2 linked regions of the Lepisosteus oculatus genome follow. The protein of the gene in region 2 interacts with the protein of the main gene of each other region in a pairwise test. Links are inferred from orthologs where the notes say so. Each region holds a gene or a part of one and is shown on either strand. Other genes may lie near its edges.

Evidence for each region.
Region 1: the proteins of microtubule-associated tumor suppressor candidate 2-like (region 2) and coiled-coil domain-containing protein 60 interact in binary tests that used the Homo sapiens proteins (3 or more experiments, as listed by UniProt). The two-hybrid records come from large-scale screens. The link is inferred for Lepisosteus oculatus from reciprocal best matches to the Homo sapiens genes MTUS2 and CCDC60.

Annotation. Positions count from the first base shown.
Region 1 is NC_090717.1:4,185,173-4,193,019, forward strand, and holds the start of coiled-coil domain-containing protein 60, read right to left. Parts: upstream 3,013-7,847; 5' UTR 2,630-3,012; coding exon 2,339-2,629; intron 1-2,338. Other genes in the region: heat shock protein beta-1, read left to right, coding at 6,838-7,225, 7,586-7,649.
Region 2 is NC_090700.1:17,556,045-17,563,274, forward strand, and holds the start of microtubule-associated tumor suppressor candidate 2-like, read right to left. Parts: upstream 3,018-7,230; 5' UTR 2,836-3,017; intron 1,872-2,835; exon of another isoform or gene 1,696-1,871; intron 1-1,695. UniProt on the Homo sapiens protein: Binds microtubules. Together with MAPRE1 may target the microtubule depolymerase KIF2C to the plus-end of microtubules. May regulate the dynamics of microtubules at their growing distal tip.

The DNA.
Region 1 (7,847 bases), on a different chromosome or scaffold from region 2:
AAATCTCCTGTGTACACATGACTAACTTTTTTCTTCTTTCTAGGGGAACATTAATGGATACTGATTATACTTTTGAAAATGATGTCACTACTATATTGTGAGGGGCAAGCAACATCCCCCAGTTCTGCTGCCAGTTTAATCATAGAGCTTGTAATGATTGCAGTCCTGCTGTTACACCTTGTACCTATAGAAGGTAGCAGGGAATGTCTTATTCCTTGAAAGCCTCAGCTTTCATTTTTACGCTGACGATACTCAAATATACATCCATACCAAACCCGACACTGACGTGGCTGTCTCTATCCTATCTAATTGCATCTCTGACATAAAAATTTGGATGACTCAAAACTTCCTTCATCTTAACTGTGACAAGACTGAAGTCATGCTTATTGGTACCCCCCATCAACTTCGAAAAGCCAGTCCTGTAACCCTGTCTGTAGATGGCTCTGTACTTGAGCTTCAATCAAAATTGAAAAACCTTGGGGTTATATTCGATTCTGGCTTAACATTCGACCCACATGTACAGCATACTGTCAAAACATCTTTTTTTCACCTTAGAAATATCGCAAGACTACGCCCTATGCTATCATTAACTGTGGCTGAAAAGCTGATCAACATATTTGTATTCTCTCGAATTGACTACTGCAATGCTCTGCTCCCTGGTGTATCTAAATCTACTCTGAACAAGCTGCAGTATGTCCAAAATTCAGCAGCCAGAATTCTGACCAGGTCTAGTACAAGTGTTCACATTACTCCTATCCTGGAGTCCTTGCACTGGCTTCCGGTCAAATTCCGCGTAGACTTTAAAATCCTCATGCTCACCTACAAGGCTTTACATGGCTTGGCACCTCAATACCTGTCTGAACTTTTATCGCCCTACTCCCCACCTCGCAACCTCCGCTCTTCAATTTCTGCCCTCCTTACTGTCCCCCAAGCCCGTCTACATTGTATGGGCGACAGGGCCTTCTCCTGCTATGCCCCCAAGCTCTGGAACTCTTTACCCAAGGATATTAGAGAGTCACCTTCTCTAAACTCCTTCAAATCCAGACTCAAAACTTTCTTCTTCAGTAAAGCCTTTACTTAACTGGTTCCATTCTTCAGCCCTCTGCTCTTCTTAATACCATCTTCCACGGTCTCCTCTATTGTTATTGTTGTATTGTTGTAATTATAATTATGTCCTGTCTTGTGAAATTTTCTTATTTATTGTTGTAGTCTTCTTATTTATTGTTATTGTCATCCTGTAAAGCGCTTTGAGAAGCCACCTTTAAAGGCGCTATATAAAATAAAGTTTATTATTATTATTATTATTATGCCAAAGTCTGAATGGGATTTTATATTTCAACACATTGCTGTTTGTAAAAACAATACACCCTGTCCCACAGGTGGGTAAAAAATACAGTATTCTTCACTTGACTTTAGGCAATTGAGTAAAAGAATCAGGCTCCAGCCGTGTTGTTGTGCTAGTAGTCGAGGACATCTGCACGTGCCTAATAAAACCAAAAGCAATACTTTGGGAGAGAGAAGGAAACATCCTAAGCATTGTAGTGCCATACAGCAATAACAAAGTGGGCTCTAGAATGAATGAAGGACTGCGACCTGTGAACTGACATTCCCTCCCGTCTCCTGTCTGATAGGAGCAAGGCCACCTGATATAGCCTCACATTTAACACAAGTGGAGGGTCGAAACTCACACTGCTATCTGCATTCTTTCTGACCTCAGAGGCCAGCCAGGGAAATCCAAATCTATACAATTACTTAAACTATTCAAGGGTGACATGAGATGCTTAGAAAAAGTTTCTTTTGACAAGCCTATCCCTTTAGTGTGTCCTACAATTTTTTTTCTGGCTTCATGAAACAAACTCAAGAACAACACGAAAGGTTGAGCTACACATATCTGCCAAAGACAGATTCGTTAAAGATTAAACACATAGGTCAAATATAAACGAAAACAATGTAGTAAGATGAACATACTGTAGAATATAAAAGTGGTTTCTTCTAATGTTCTATGTTTTCTATCCTAAATTACCAAAAAAGCTGAATGTTACTAGGAGAAAACACTAATTTAAGAGGGATAATGTAATAGTTGAGCTGCGTTTTGGCATGCTTACATAATAACATCAAAAATAAATTAAAAAAACACAACTAAGACATTATTTGAAGTCGTATAAAGCAAACGGACCAATCTGATTGAATTAATAATTATGTATCCCATTTTGAAGGTGAATTGGTCCATTTCCCTATTCAGTTCATTGACATACTATGAAGACTACATCATTACTATTTAATAGTTCAAGTAAGACGTGAAGAAGCAATGCATTTCTTAGTTTACAACAGAAATCACCTGTTCAGGTTGTCCTAAAGAATGCAGAATCAGCCTCTTAGGCTCCAGGACAAGGGGTTCTCCAATCTCCTCATACGGCCGCCAATTTACTGCCCTGTAGCCCTGGCGAGTCAGTTGCTTCTGTCTCCGACGGTAATTCTCCCTGAAAACTTGCTCCCGATTCGGTTCGCAGGGGTTGAACACGGTGCTACTACGAGCTTGGAGTTTTATCCCCGCGGGAGGACTTATGGGAAGTGGTTTGATAATTACGAAGTTGCGTGGGTCCAGACTTTTACTTGAGCACACAGGCATAGCTGCACATTACACCCCGCCTGCTGATGTTATGTCATGAGAGTTTTTAATGCGCATGAAAAAAAAAACTAAACTCCAGAATACGCACAGAACAAGAGCTATTGTAGTGGTCTTCCTATTCCATCTTAGTTTTCTTTTTTTTCGGTATGGTGGTTCTTAGAATACAAAACGCATAATTCAGCGAAGTAATCCGTCTCGTCTCGGTCTTCTACAGTCACGCAGACACTGGCTAGTGTCTTCATTTGTTTCCCTTAGTTACAGTGCAAACAAAAGAGAGGAATAATTTAAGAGAGCAAGGATTCCTGAAAAGTGCGAACCAACCCGTCATAAATACGTGTCTGTCGGAAGGCTCGTCTTTAAATAGAGAAGTTTTACTCCGGGCCTAATTCAATACTTGTTTCGGGAATCTTTTCCAAGTTTGTATTCTGTGCAGCCATTGTGCGTTGTCTGATTATAAATTAGCTTCTCTGAAACTGAAAGTTAATTGGTTACTGCGGTTATCCAGACGTTTTAATTAAAACGGCACATAAATTTAAGTAGAACTAATAGATCTCGCAGTTAGTATTCTAATTAGTGTCAGTTAACTAATTAGTGTCTCACCGCACCAGCCCATCAATTTCACCTGTTTACAGGACAAATGTTTTATTACTACATGGTTTATAACTAAACGTTTGACAAACAGAAGCAAGAAAAATAAAATATATTTTAAAGAATATTAGAAAATTTAAAATAATTAAAAACAGACATTTATTAATCTCAAGGAAATTACCGTGTGCCCATATACTGTGTAAATTCTTCTACTGCAACATGTCTGATCGCCATCGAGATATTCACTGTTTGGGGAACTGGAATTTATTATTGAATACGTACTGTATAAGGATACGTTCTTAAAATCTCTTTTTAAAATGGCTTGTTCTTAAGCTCTCAACTGACGAACAGATATGTATGGGGTGCAATGTCAGTTTTATTTATTTTAATTAGGATCCAGGAGTTTCCAGAATAATCACATTGCTAGGTGATTCTTACATTAGACTGTGATGCTGTAGGTTCTGTAGCCGGAGCCACACAATTGAACACCAGCTGCTAGTTCCAAAGGCAACTATGTTATCTCATCACCAAAATACCTACCTGGCAAGTGGGGAATGCACTTCTTTGTACTATCTGCAGTCAACAGAGACATCCAGCAGGTGGTGATCACATTGGGGTATTCAGTCTCCCCAGATGTCCACGATTACAACAATGCACCACAGTGCATACCCATAGTGGTAGGCATGTTTCAATATTGTTCATCAGACAACACCAGTGAAATGCTACTTAAGACAAGCCCCTGCCCTCAGACATCAGTGTTGTATAAAGCAGCTGTTGTCATCAGACATGTAATTTATACAAGGACCAGTAAAGCTGCTGCAATCTTACAGCAAAAAAAACTCATTCAGACCTACAGTAGCAATGCCTCAACCTTCAGGGCGAAGAGATAAAACAGATCTCACTTTAAAACCTCCTACTACACTGTATATATTACAGTATGTATTGCAAAAGGACTTATGTTACAGCTTCTGTTATTCAACCCTGAATGAGTACAAGAACAAGACTCAAGCCTTCTTTGGTCAGAGTAAGCTTTTTTTTTTGCTCAGGGATTTGAGCAAAAATCAAAGCTCACTTTATCAGCTCTTCAGGTCCATTTAGCAGCTCCTTTCCCCCTTTCTCTTTGAAGGCAGCTTTTTCTTTGCAGTGTCTTTTGCCCTCCCTCACTTGCCACTGTCCCTTTTGATGTCTGTGAGGAAAAGACAGGGCAGGGACCAGAGGACAAAAAGACAAACTGAATTCTGTGCACGGGGTGGGGGGAAGCTTTTTTTTAACAGCTTCAATGAGAAATGAAAACAAATATCAAAGTGTGAAGTTATCAGGTCACAAGGTAAAACACAAGTTTGTAAGTTATTGAAATAAATCTCTTTGGCTTCATGTATGCATTGCATGGTCTTGAAAGTGACATGTTTAAGTGTTTAATTTATAGATTGAATTTTGTACATTCATTTATTCTTTTATATCTGTGTGAGGAGCATGGACTACATAGATATTACTCATTACGAGCATCTCAACTACCTGTGGCTTAAAATTACTTCATTGACCCAAAGATAGAACATTGAAAATTGGGTTGAACCTTTTCTGGTAGACCCCTTCATGGAGTTTGATTTCAGAATAGTGTTCAATATGTTTTTTTATTTTATAGCATTAGAAACAAGAGTCTTTTACGTATTCGGTACAGTATCATTCTGCCCGTCACAAATGTTATTTCAGTATTTTTTTTTGCAGGCCAATTCATATTATTATTTCCCCAGGCCATTCATTTAAAAATGCCTTTTATTTGATTGCTTCTCATTACTGTTTCATAGAGAGATTTTATTAATTCCCTCTAGAATTTGTTAAGATGTGTCTAGTCCGTTAATAGCACTTGGAGGAACCAGTGACATAAACTAATTAGAAGTAAAGAAATGTAGGGAGTGGGGATGCTAAGCTCTTTCATTAGTGAAATTCCTCACAGCTCTCATAGGAGGACTTTATCAGTTTAATTAGGATTCAGGGTTTTTTTTGCCGCAAACACCTCCTGCTTTACTCCGTTGAAAGAAAATAACCTTTAGTTATTATCAGTAACACAAAGCTTTTGCCTTCCTTGTGCTATTTGTTATATTGTATGTTTGCAAAATGTACAGTATGTGGACAAAATACAAAATGTATATAGTTTTTTTTTCCTTCAATAAAAATAAGCCTTGAACACAGAAGCTGTTCTGGAATTTGTAAAGATACATTCCCCAGGTTTTACAGGAATGCTGTACTGTGTCAGGCTAAAACGACTGAACCTTTTTATTCCATGACAGAGAAGACTATTAGAGGACCTAATCGAAGTATGCAAAAGTCTATAAAAGGGATTGACAAAGCCAACTCAATGGATTCCTTCAGAAGCAACTAGAATGTGAAGCACAGAACTTCAGTGGAAGCATTTAAAATTGGGAACATCAGACACTTCTGTGTTCAAAGGGTTGTATTAATATTAAACACGAAGCTGATACCCTGGCTTCTTTCAAGAACCAGCTTTATGAGATCCTCAGATCAATGAACTACTAACTGGGCTAGATGGGCCTCCTCTACAACATAACCCCCTCTTATGTTCTATAAGCAAGTCATGCTTATGCTTCTTCTCTCTTTTCTCAATATTTAGTCAAATAATTTATCCTGAATGAGTTTTCAGACTTTGTCAACTACACTTCCAAATCTGTCTCCATGCTCCAAAAACAAATTTGGATTTTCCAATTTTAAGATCACCCCTCCATGACTGAACCCTGTAGCCTTGGTACAGTGTGGGAGTGAGCACACATGTGTTTACAATCTTTCCCGTTCTTGGTGTTGCTGTTACCTGCAAAAAACAGAGTATTACTAACCCTTGTGGGCATAGCCACTGGCTGCTGCTTATTTCTTGAGCAAAAATTTCACTAGTTCCCGAAGAACCCACAGTGCTTCTTAAGGCGGTCTAGCTCACTTTAAAATGAGACCCTGTATTTCTAACACACCAGTTAACTTCTAGTTGGTTTCCACCTTGATGAAAGTGCTCAGCAAAAAGGATCAACAAACTTCCATTGCAAAGCAGAAGACAGCGGTAACTATGGAGAAAGTAAAGAGAACCAGGATGTGACAAGATTGTTGAACACGCCAGTGAACACAACATCACCATTGTGCTTGCAGTCATCCTCCAACTATTTGCCATTTTCCCTCCAGAGCTATAAATACCATTAATTAGCTCCTTTCTTCCAAGCATGGTGTAACATGTAAGTAACAGCACCATCTCCCAGCCCATCACCTGATTCCTACTTTCACATCTCATAGGACAACTATTAGTGCTTAGTAAGTGTTAGAAAGGACAGTCAGGCTATATAAGGAGTGTGAGCGATGTGTTCTAACTGAGCAAAGCTTTTGTAAAAATCTGACCTTTCTAATTATTAATCAGCTCCCAAGTGCATACCTTAAAAATCTAGCTGTTTCTATTGTCTTGCAACTATTTTCTCATTAATTTTGACTTTCACGTTTTGAAGCCTTCATCTCTTGATAAAGCAAGAGAGCCAAAAAAGGCAGAAAGGGAAATACCAGCAGTTTGAAAGGCCCATTCTTTTTTCTTCGTATTTTTTTCGTGCCTTTTCGTGAACTCTTCGTAGGCTATGGCAGAGCACAGCAGACGTCTCCCCCGTCCCCTTTCCCAACGGGACCTGAACTGGGATCCTTTCCGGGACTGGGCACAGCCCAGTCGCATTTTTGACCAGGAATTTGGGTTGCCCCCTTTCCTGGAGGAAGGAGATCTGAACTGGATCGACTGGGCGAGGAGACGGCTGTCTTCTTCCTGGCCAGCTTACTTGCGCTCACCCCTGTTTGCACCTTATTCATTCTATGAGCAAGCGGCCAGCAGCCCAAATCTTCAGAGGCAACTGTGCGGAGGGGTATCTGAAGTCAGGACTGGACCCGACTGCTGGAAAATTAGCCTGGATGTCAACCATTTCTCTCCAGAAGAAATTACCATCAAAATAAAAGAGGGCTACCTGGAAATAGCAGGTATCACCAACAACCTAGTCACTTTTCTTTGCTGTACTCTCTCTTTTTTTACCTAAGGTTACATAGTTTTTGTTAACACTTGTCTGTAGTTTACATGTCAATTCCAAAGTTGAGCATATTATTTTAAAAAGAGGGAGTGTGTTATCTGCATTTAAAGGAATTTGTCTTTTGTGTTCTTAACTTTCAGTAGTATGGGAACTGCCCACATATTCCTTGAACACCAGTTTAAACATCAGGAGCTGACTACACAAAGGAGATTTCACAGCATTCACGCTAGCTTGGGGAGTCCAATTGCTTTACACAAAAAGTATTTGATTCTGAATTCTACTCAAAGATAATTAATTGATGACTAATTCCTAGGCAAACATGAAGAAAGACAGGATGAACATGGATTTGTCTCCAGATGTTTTACAAGGAAGTATAAGTAAGTTAAGATTACTATTTGTCATAAGTTTAATGCAATTTAAATACTGAGATTTAATACCAAATACATTTGTTTCTCAACATAAGCCTTTACACTTTACTTTACTTTGATTAGTAAGGTGTGCTTCAGTTTCATTGTGAAAATCATTTCTCAGGATAGCATTATTATTTATTTTTTCTTCAATAACCTCTGCACTTC
Region 2 (7,230 bases):
ACCATTGGGAACTGTGATCATGTTCTGATTTCTAAAAAAAACAGAGCGGATACAAAAATAAAAAACAGTGAAGATCAGATGGGATGGGCATCACCACTATATAGCACTCTGGCCCATTTTACAGGTATTAGGTGGTGCAAGCGATTGTGCAAATGCAGCGCAGAGGGCAGAGTGGTGGCACTGTGGTTAAGGATCTGCACCTGAGGCTGGAAGATTGCTGGTTCAAATCCCGCAGCCGGCAGAGGAATCCTACTTTGTTGGGCCCCTGACCAAGGCCCTTGATCCCAACTACCCCAGGTGTCATGGCTGACCCTGCACTCTGACCCCAGGCTTCTCTCTCCCTCTCTGTAATCCTCATAGAGAGCAGGCTGGGGTATGCAAAAAGACAAATTCCTAATGCAAGAAATTGTATAGGGCTTAATAAAGTGATCTGGGTCAGATAAAACAATTATTTTTCACAGACCTGAAGAACAAAAATCAAACCCTCAACTCAATGAAAAAAAACAAACAAACAAACAAACAAATACATTGTGGTAATATAACCCTGTTTTTAATTTCACCAATGCTATATACTGCAAAAAGATACTTTTACATGTACTGAGTTGTCCTCAATTAACACTCTACACTTTGCCAAAGAATTAAAGTAATTATCTAAAAGATAGACCAATAAACAGTATTAAAAGCTCCTGTACTGCTCTGAAGACTGAAATTTACATTTAACACAAAAAATATTACTTTCAAGAAACACCTTAAAATTGTATAAATTATGTATTACAGCTAATATGAACATTTAATAATAATAATTTTTGCTTACACTTATATACTGTACCGCTTTTCTGGACACTCCACTCAAGGCGCTTTACAGGTAATGGGGACTCCCCTCCACCACCACCAATGTGCAGCACCCACCTGGATGATATTTAAACTAATGCCCTTGTTAAGAGAAAAGGTCTTGCACAAGCTGTATGAAACCTCCTCCTTGAGAAACATTTAAGGTGAAAACTAAAAGATAATGTGAGGTATTTTTGTCTTAACTGACTTTAGTCCGCATCAGCATAAAATAAGAAATGCATTCTCAGCTTAAATGGGAAATGAGACAATCCTGCTCAGATACAGGCTACAGTAAGTCCAAAATTACAGTAAACATACACAGACTACTTTAAGTCAAGACTTTGACCAACTTCAAATATTTTCAATGACAGTTTAAAATTGAATAAAAGCTTGTAGGTTTTGTTAACCAAAAAGTAACCATCAGGCACTCAACGTGATATTGCGGATGGAAGGTAAAAACAAAGCGGTTAATTTAAGATGCTGTTTTAAATACATTGATTATTCTAAACAATTTCAGTTTCACATAGGCACAATTGAAATGAACCGATTTCTCTGAAATAAGTATGAGACAGAAAAATACATAGGAACCAAAATAGAGGAAGTCTTTAAAATGGTGCCTGGTTGCTAAATCCGGTTTTCTTTTTTTAGGAAGAATCACAGCGGCCCAATGTGTATAGCCTTTGCGAAAAGAGTTTTTAAATTTTTCACTAATGAATTACATTCCACATTTATTGTCCAAAAGTCATCATTACCGTTGTATTATTTATGGAACTAATATTGAGTGACAGCTGTTTAACGCTACCTTCAAGATGTACTGAAGCTCCTGAGCCCCAATAATGAGCAAGGCTCGCTTAATTCCTCTACCTGAATGGAGTTTCAAGCTGTATCATTTCTTCTCTTCCCTGGCGCACTTAATGTCTAACCCACATTTTCAATTTAAACACCATCGCATTCAGGAAGCAATTTAAAGGTTTTTGTTTTGTTTAATACTGTTTGCCCTGGACAGTTTGTAAACTATTATAAAGACATTGTTATAAAACTGAAGAGTTTATAATACAAAGGAAACCACTGCAAAACAATCTACAACCCGTAGTTCCGACGACTGAGAGAACAAGCTTAAAATAGCTCTGCAGTTAATATAGTATTGCAGCAAATTCCTCCTTATGTTTACTGTTACACAACACTGTCACTGGCGCACCAAGAGCACATTTTCTGACCATATAGAGCACTGCGTTGAGAGGTGAAGAACAGCAGCACACTTAACGTCAGGCGCAAAATGTGTACAGCATGACTGCATAATTAAACTCTAACAACAAAAACAACATAGTACAGAGCACTGTATGTGTGTTTATGGAGAGGAAAACCAATGTAGCCCACAAATTACATGCAAATGTGTTATACGTTTATAATTGCACTCATTTCTGGACCTTTCACTTCGTCTCAAAGACCACGCTTGCAGATTCGCTCACACTCTCAGGTATCACTGCAAAGACGTAAATAGATCAAGCTTACGTGGTCAATACCAAAGGTGTCGCTTCCAGAGATCTTACAGTTAGCTCAGCAAAGGGCTTTTACTTGTGGCACCGACTACAGTCAGTGTGTTTTATTTAAAAACCACGTTTAATTTTTTTAACACTTTCCTCGACGTGAAGCCTTTTTGTCCTGTAAAAAAGCTCTAATTGTTGTGCGCCAGCGTCACAACTAGTTTTAATCTAATTGAACTGAAAATACGCCCACCAAATACAGCATACACAAAAACAGTATATAAGGAAGTTGCCATAAACACATTTGTTCCTTTGAATGTCAGCGAAGGCAATTTTGTCACCGGACAGCACAGCAGTTGCATTCTTCATCTAGGTGGGGTGCTATTTTTTTTTTTTGCAATGCAGGCAAAAATATAACGTAGCAAGTCGATGCTGAATATAATAACCTTTTCCATACACAGATGCACCGCCTGTACCTCTGCTTTGTGCATCTTCTCGCCCGGAAACTAACAGTGCATACCTGTTATTTTGATTCCGTTTTCCCGTGGAAATGCTGAGCATCCGCCTCCTCGTGCTTTACCAGGTACTAACCACCATCCTGAACGCAACGAAGAAAACGGTTGGGGGTGAGATAGACGGTGCAGAATGTTTCTCTCCTCTCCTCTCCTCCTGAAGCAATCTGGATCTTTTCCCCTGGAGAACCCATGCTTTTCAGAAAGCCGAAGGCTCCACCTGCTGGCAAAGAACAGGAAGGTGCAACATCCATAGGTGCACAACAGCGTCAGAGAGGTTGAGAAGAATTTTTTTATCGGCTAAAGTTAGAAAATATAAAAGACGTTTTTTTTTTCTTTTTTTAAGGGAGTTCTAACTACAGTTCAACAATCGTGATTTGTTCTTGGTCTTTGTACGAAGACGAAGGTTTCTTATATCCATTGGTTTTGTGTTTGATTAGTTTGGTTGTCTTGTGAGATGAAATTATCAACTATTTTAGTTCTTTTAGATTGGTTATTTGCGATTTAATTACTTGCGAGATGGCTTTAATCGTGAATGGTGCCTTTATACAATGAGAAAAAAAACTGACTGCAATACTAGTGCTTCGGCACAAATCTGAACAAGTAAAATACATACTCTATAATAGAGATTTCTAACATGGATCTTGGTCCCAATTCAGCACCTTTTGTAGGTCACCATTACTTTGTGTCTTAATATATGAAACGATTTCATTGTGATCAAACAGGTGACTTGTCAAAGTAAGTAATTTACAGATCATTTAAGACTAAAGTCTAAGTACTCTCTAGCCTTCAAGGACCTTAGATTGTATTAATTCAACAGATTACCTGCTTTCATTCATCAAATGTTTACAGGTGTTTTCAGCCTTTTCAACCAGGTGAAAGATAAGACTAGGTCACAGACCCCTGGTTTAACTGAATGTGTGGAGCTGTACAAAAATATAAATATAATGTCTCAGTATCTGGGGCACTTAGTACATCAGAGTTCTCAGTCCTGATTCTGGGGGAGTGCTGTCTTCTGTTTTTTTTTCTCCGTAATCTTAATGGTAAACTTATTTATTCCAAATGTAGGTGTTTTTATTTTATTGTACCTCATAAAGGCTTATGGTTCAGAATTGATATCAACCCTGTGCCAACCCCTAAGACTCAGAATTCCCCTCATTCTGGTGCATTAGCCAAAATGTAACCAATGGGATTTAAGCCAAAGGAAAATGAAATACTTGCTATGGGAATGTCTGATATATTACCATTCCCATCTGGCTGTTCATTATAACATGACTGTCAGTTAAGAGCTTTTTAACCTAAATAAGTGAACAAATTCATAATTAGCATGTTGAAGAGAGACTATATGAAATTCTGTATGCCAAAGTTGTTGAAAATAATACAGTACATTAACGGGATTTTTTTTAAACTGACGAGCGTGGAAAAGGCGTAAATAAGCAAGCAGATCAATTAGCACCAGTGAGTAAAGGCCTAGTTGGAGCAATAACCACCAGATGCTGTTGTCCCTTAGGATCAGCATGGGGAACCACTGCTCTAAAGTAACAATACAGACAAATTATCTTATTTGAAAGATGTACGTTCCTCAGTCTCTAAAATGACTCACACGAGTAATATAGCAGTATAAGTGGAGCGAGCTTTGCTGATAGGGAAAAAAAGACAACCAAGTGCTTTTGAAATTCTTGACACAAGGAATACAAGGCTGTGGACAACAAATTGGAGAATAACTGTACTATACAACTACTGCCCACCATACCATGACCAGTATGTTGTCACACACCCTAGGGATGTGTGCTTAGTCCATTGCTCTACTCCCTCTACACCCACGACTGTAAGGACAAACATAACACCAACTCTATCTCATCAAGTTTGCCGATGACATCACAGTTGTAGGTCTGATCACAGACAATGATGAGAGGGCCTACAGGGAGGAGGTCAATCTCCTTATAACGTGGTGTGAAGACAACAACCTCACCCTCAAGGTCAGCAAAACCAAGGAGTGGAAAGGGTCAATAACTTCAAATTCCTTGGCGTCCATATCACTGAGGACCTCACATGGTCTCTCAACGCCACTTGTCTGATCAAGAAAGCACAACAGCGCCTGTACTTCCTAAGATGGTTGAAGAAGCCCTAAGATATGTCCCCAGATCCTCACTAACTTTTACAGATGCACTACAGAAAGCACACTGACAGGTTGCATCACTGTGTGGTATGGCAACTGCAGTATTGCTGACCGCAAATCCCTACAGCAGGTGGTGAAAACTGCCCAATGCATCGCTGGGGTTGCCCTCCCATCCATCCAGGACATTTATGACAGATGGTGCTTGAGGAAAGCTCTAAGCATCATCAAAGACCCCACACACCCCAGCTACAGACTGTCTGACCCTCTAACATCTGGAAAACGGTACCGGAGCATTCAGGCCTGGATTACCAGACTCACAGTTTTTACCCCCGCACTATCAAACTATTAAACTCCCAGCCACCCTCACCTACGATCTGAACCCTCACAGTGCCTTCTCTCTTTGTCGGATCTCAAACACACATTGAAATCTACCTCTACCTCACATGTCAAGAAGTTCACTCCCCATAATTTTCTATCCTTTATTTTGTTCTGTTGATGTATGATTTTGCACAACTGATGTTGTTTTTCACATTACCTGTTTCCTGTTGTTGTGTTGCACATTGCCTTTTGTCTCTGTCTTTCTTTTCTTATTCAATTGTATTGTTGTTTTTTTGTGCTACTTACCGTCTGAGAGCTAGCTAATTAGCATTTCATTATACCATATACCTGTGTATCAGTATAATGACAACAATCTTGAACTTGAACTTGATTTTGGACCAGTTGTAGACAGCGAGAGGCAATGGACTGGACCTGAGGCCTTGGCAGTATGGTGTCCTTGCCACCTCTGCCAGATAAGCAGTGTATGCTGCTGAAAGTGCCTGAGTGTGGTTAAGATGCCCCATCGACAAGGACACACAAAACTCCTTGTGTAGCACGCTCTCCAGTCTCCACTGCTGGCTCAGACACACCGAGGGCTGAGATGGTAGGACATCCACTCGCTCCACCAACAGTTTCTTAACAGGGCCTTTGTTGTCCGCATTGGGACAGTGTAAAGATGTTCTACTACTTGACACAAGAAGGGCGTGCTTTGTCCTCTTCAAGGAGGTGCATACAGGATGTCATCCAAAACATCTGCATGAAAGGGCCAGGGTCAAGCATGGAGAATGTCCAGTTTGGCAAAGGTAAGTGGAAGTTTCTGCAGAGCCTCAAGCCAAGGCAAGTGAATAGTGGCAGCTTGGAAGCTTTCCTCCAAGGAGCATTGCCTGTGAGGTTTTTAAAGACAAGTGGATCAAAGGCAGGCAGGTGGGAGGAAACTGCTCACACTTTCTCATCCTCCCTTGTGTGAGGTTGCTGGGTTCATAGCTGTAGGCTGAGACATTAAAAAACAACAAATGACAATTCCAAAAAAATCACGTGCGTATAACAAAAAAAATTGGAAAGATTACAAAATCCCACTCCCACAAGACAGAGGTTTGAAATGTGAATACCAAACACTTTTCATTTCAAGGCTTATTGTATGTTTGACCAACTGGATGAAAAGCAAGTTCTCGCCTGTGTCTCTAGCACAGCAATAACACTGATATTTCCAGATGGCACTCTGAAGGGGTCTTGGGCCCCAGCTGTGTGGGGGGAAATTAGAAATGCGTCCGCAATTAGGACATCAATTTTTTTTAAAAAGCATACATTTTCATTGCAACTCACTGTTAATGTAGTACAGTTCATCCCTTACAAATCTCAAACAGTTTATGAGAACAGCGAACTTAAAATAGACTCCTTTGGATCTGTAGACGCTGAGATTTGTTCCAGGGTTAAAAGGTGAGACGTGACAGTGTAACCTTCTGCACCCATTAGTGTCAGTCGTACTAAGTCTTTTCTTTGTTGTAGCCATGCATCATGATTTATTATACACCTCCATATTTCAGAGTACTTTTTTATTACAGAATTATATTTAATTTACGTATCAAATCAGAGATTGTATGAATTACATACTAAAAGTAGAAATAAAACAAAACAAAAAAAACAAACTAATTAACATATGAAATTGAATAACATATGAATAGTTTTATATACTTAGCAGACTCCTACTAATATTGTCCTAGTCCAAAGTGTCAAACAAAGGAGGCTTTATATCTTAAATTGGTTTTAATTTAATAGCTCTCAACTTACCTGTACAACAGAAAAGTTGCTCATTAAAATAATTTGGGGGGATAAATTAAAGGAAAGGGTAAATTCATTCTAATATTTTAGTTATTTCCTTCCAAAATCTTTAAAACCTTAGGATATGTAAAAAACATGTGAGAAAAATTACGTTGTATTACCACATCTCCAGTAATTGTATTTTTGT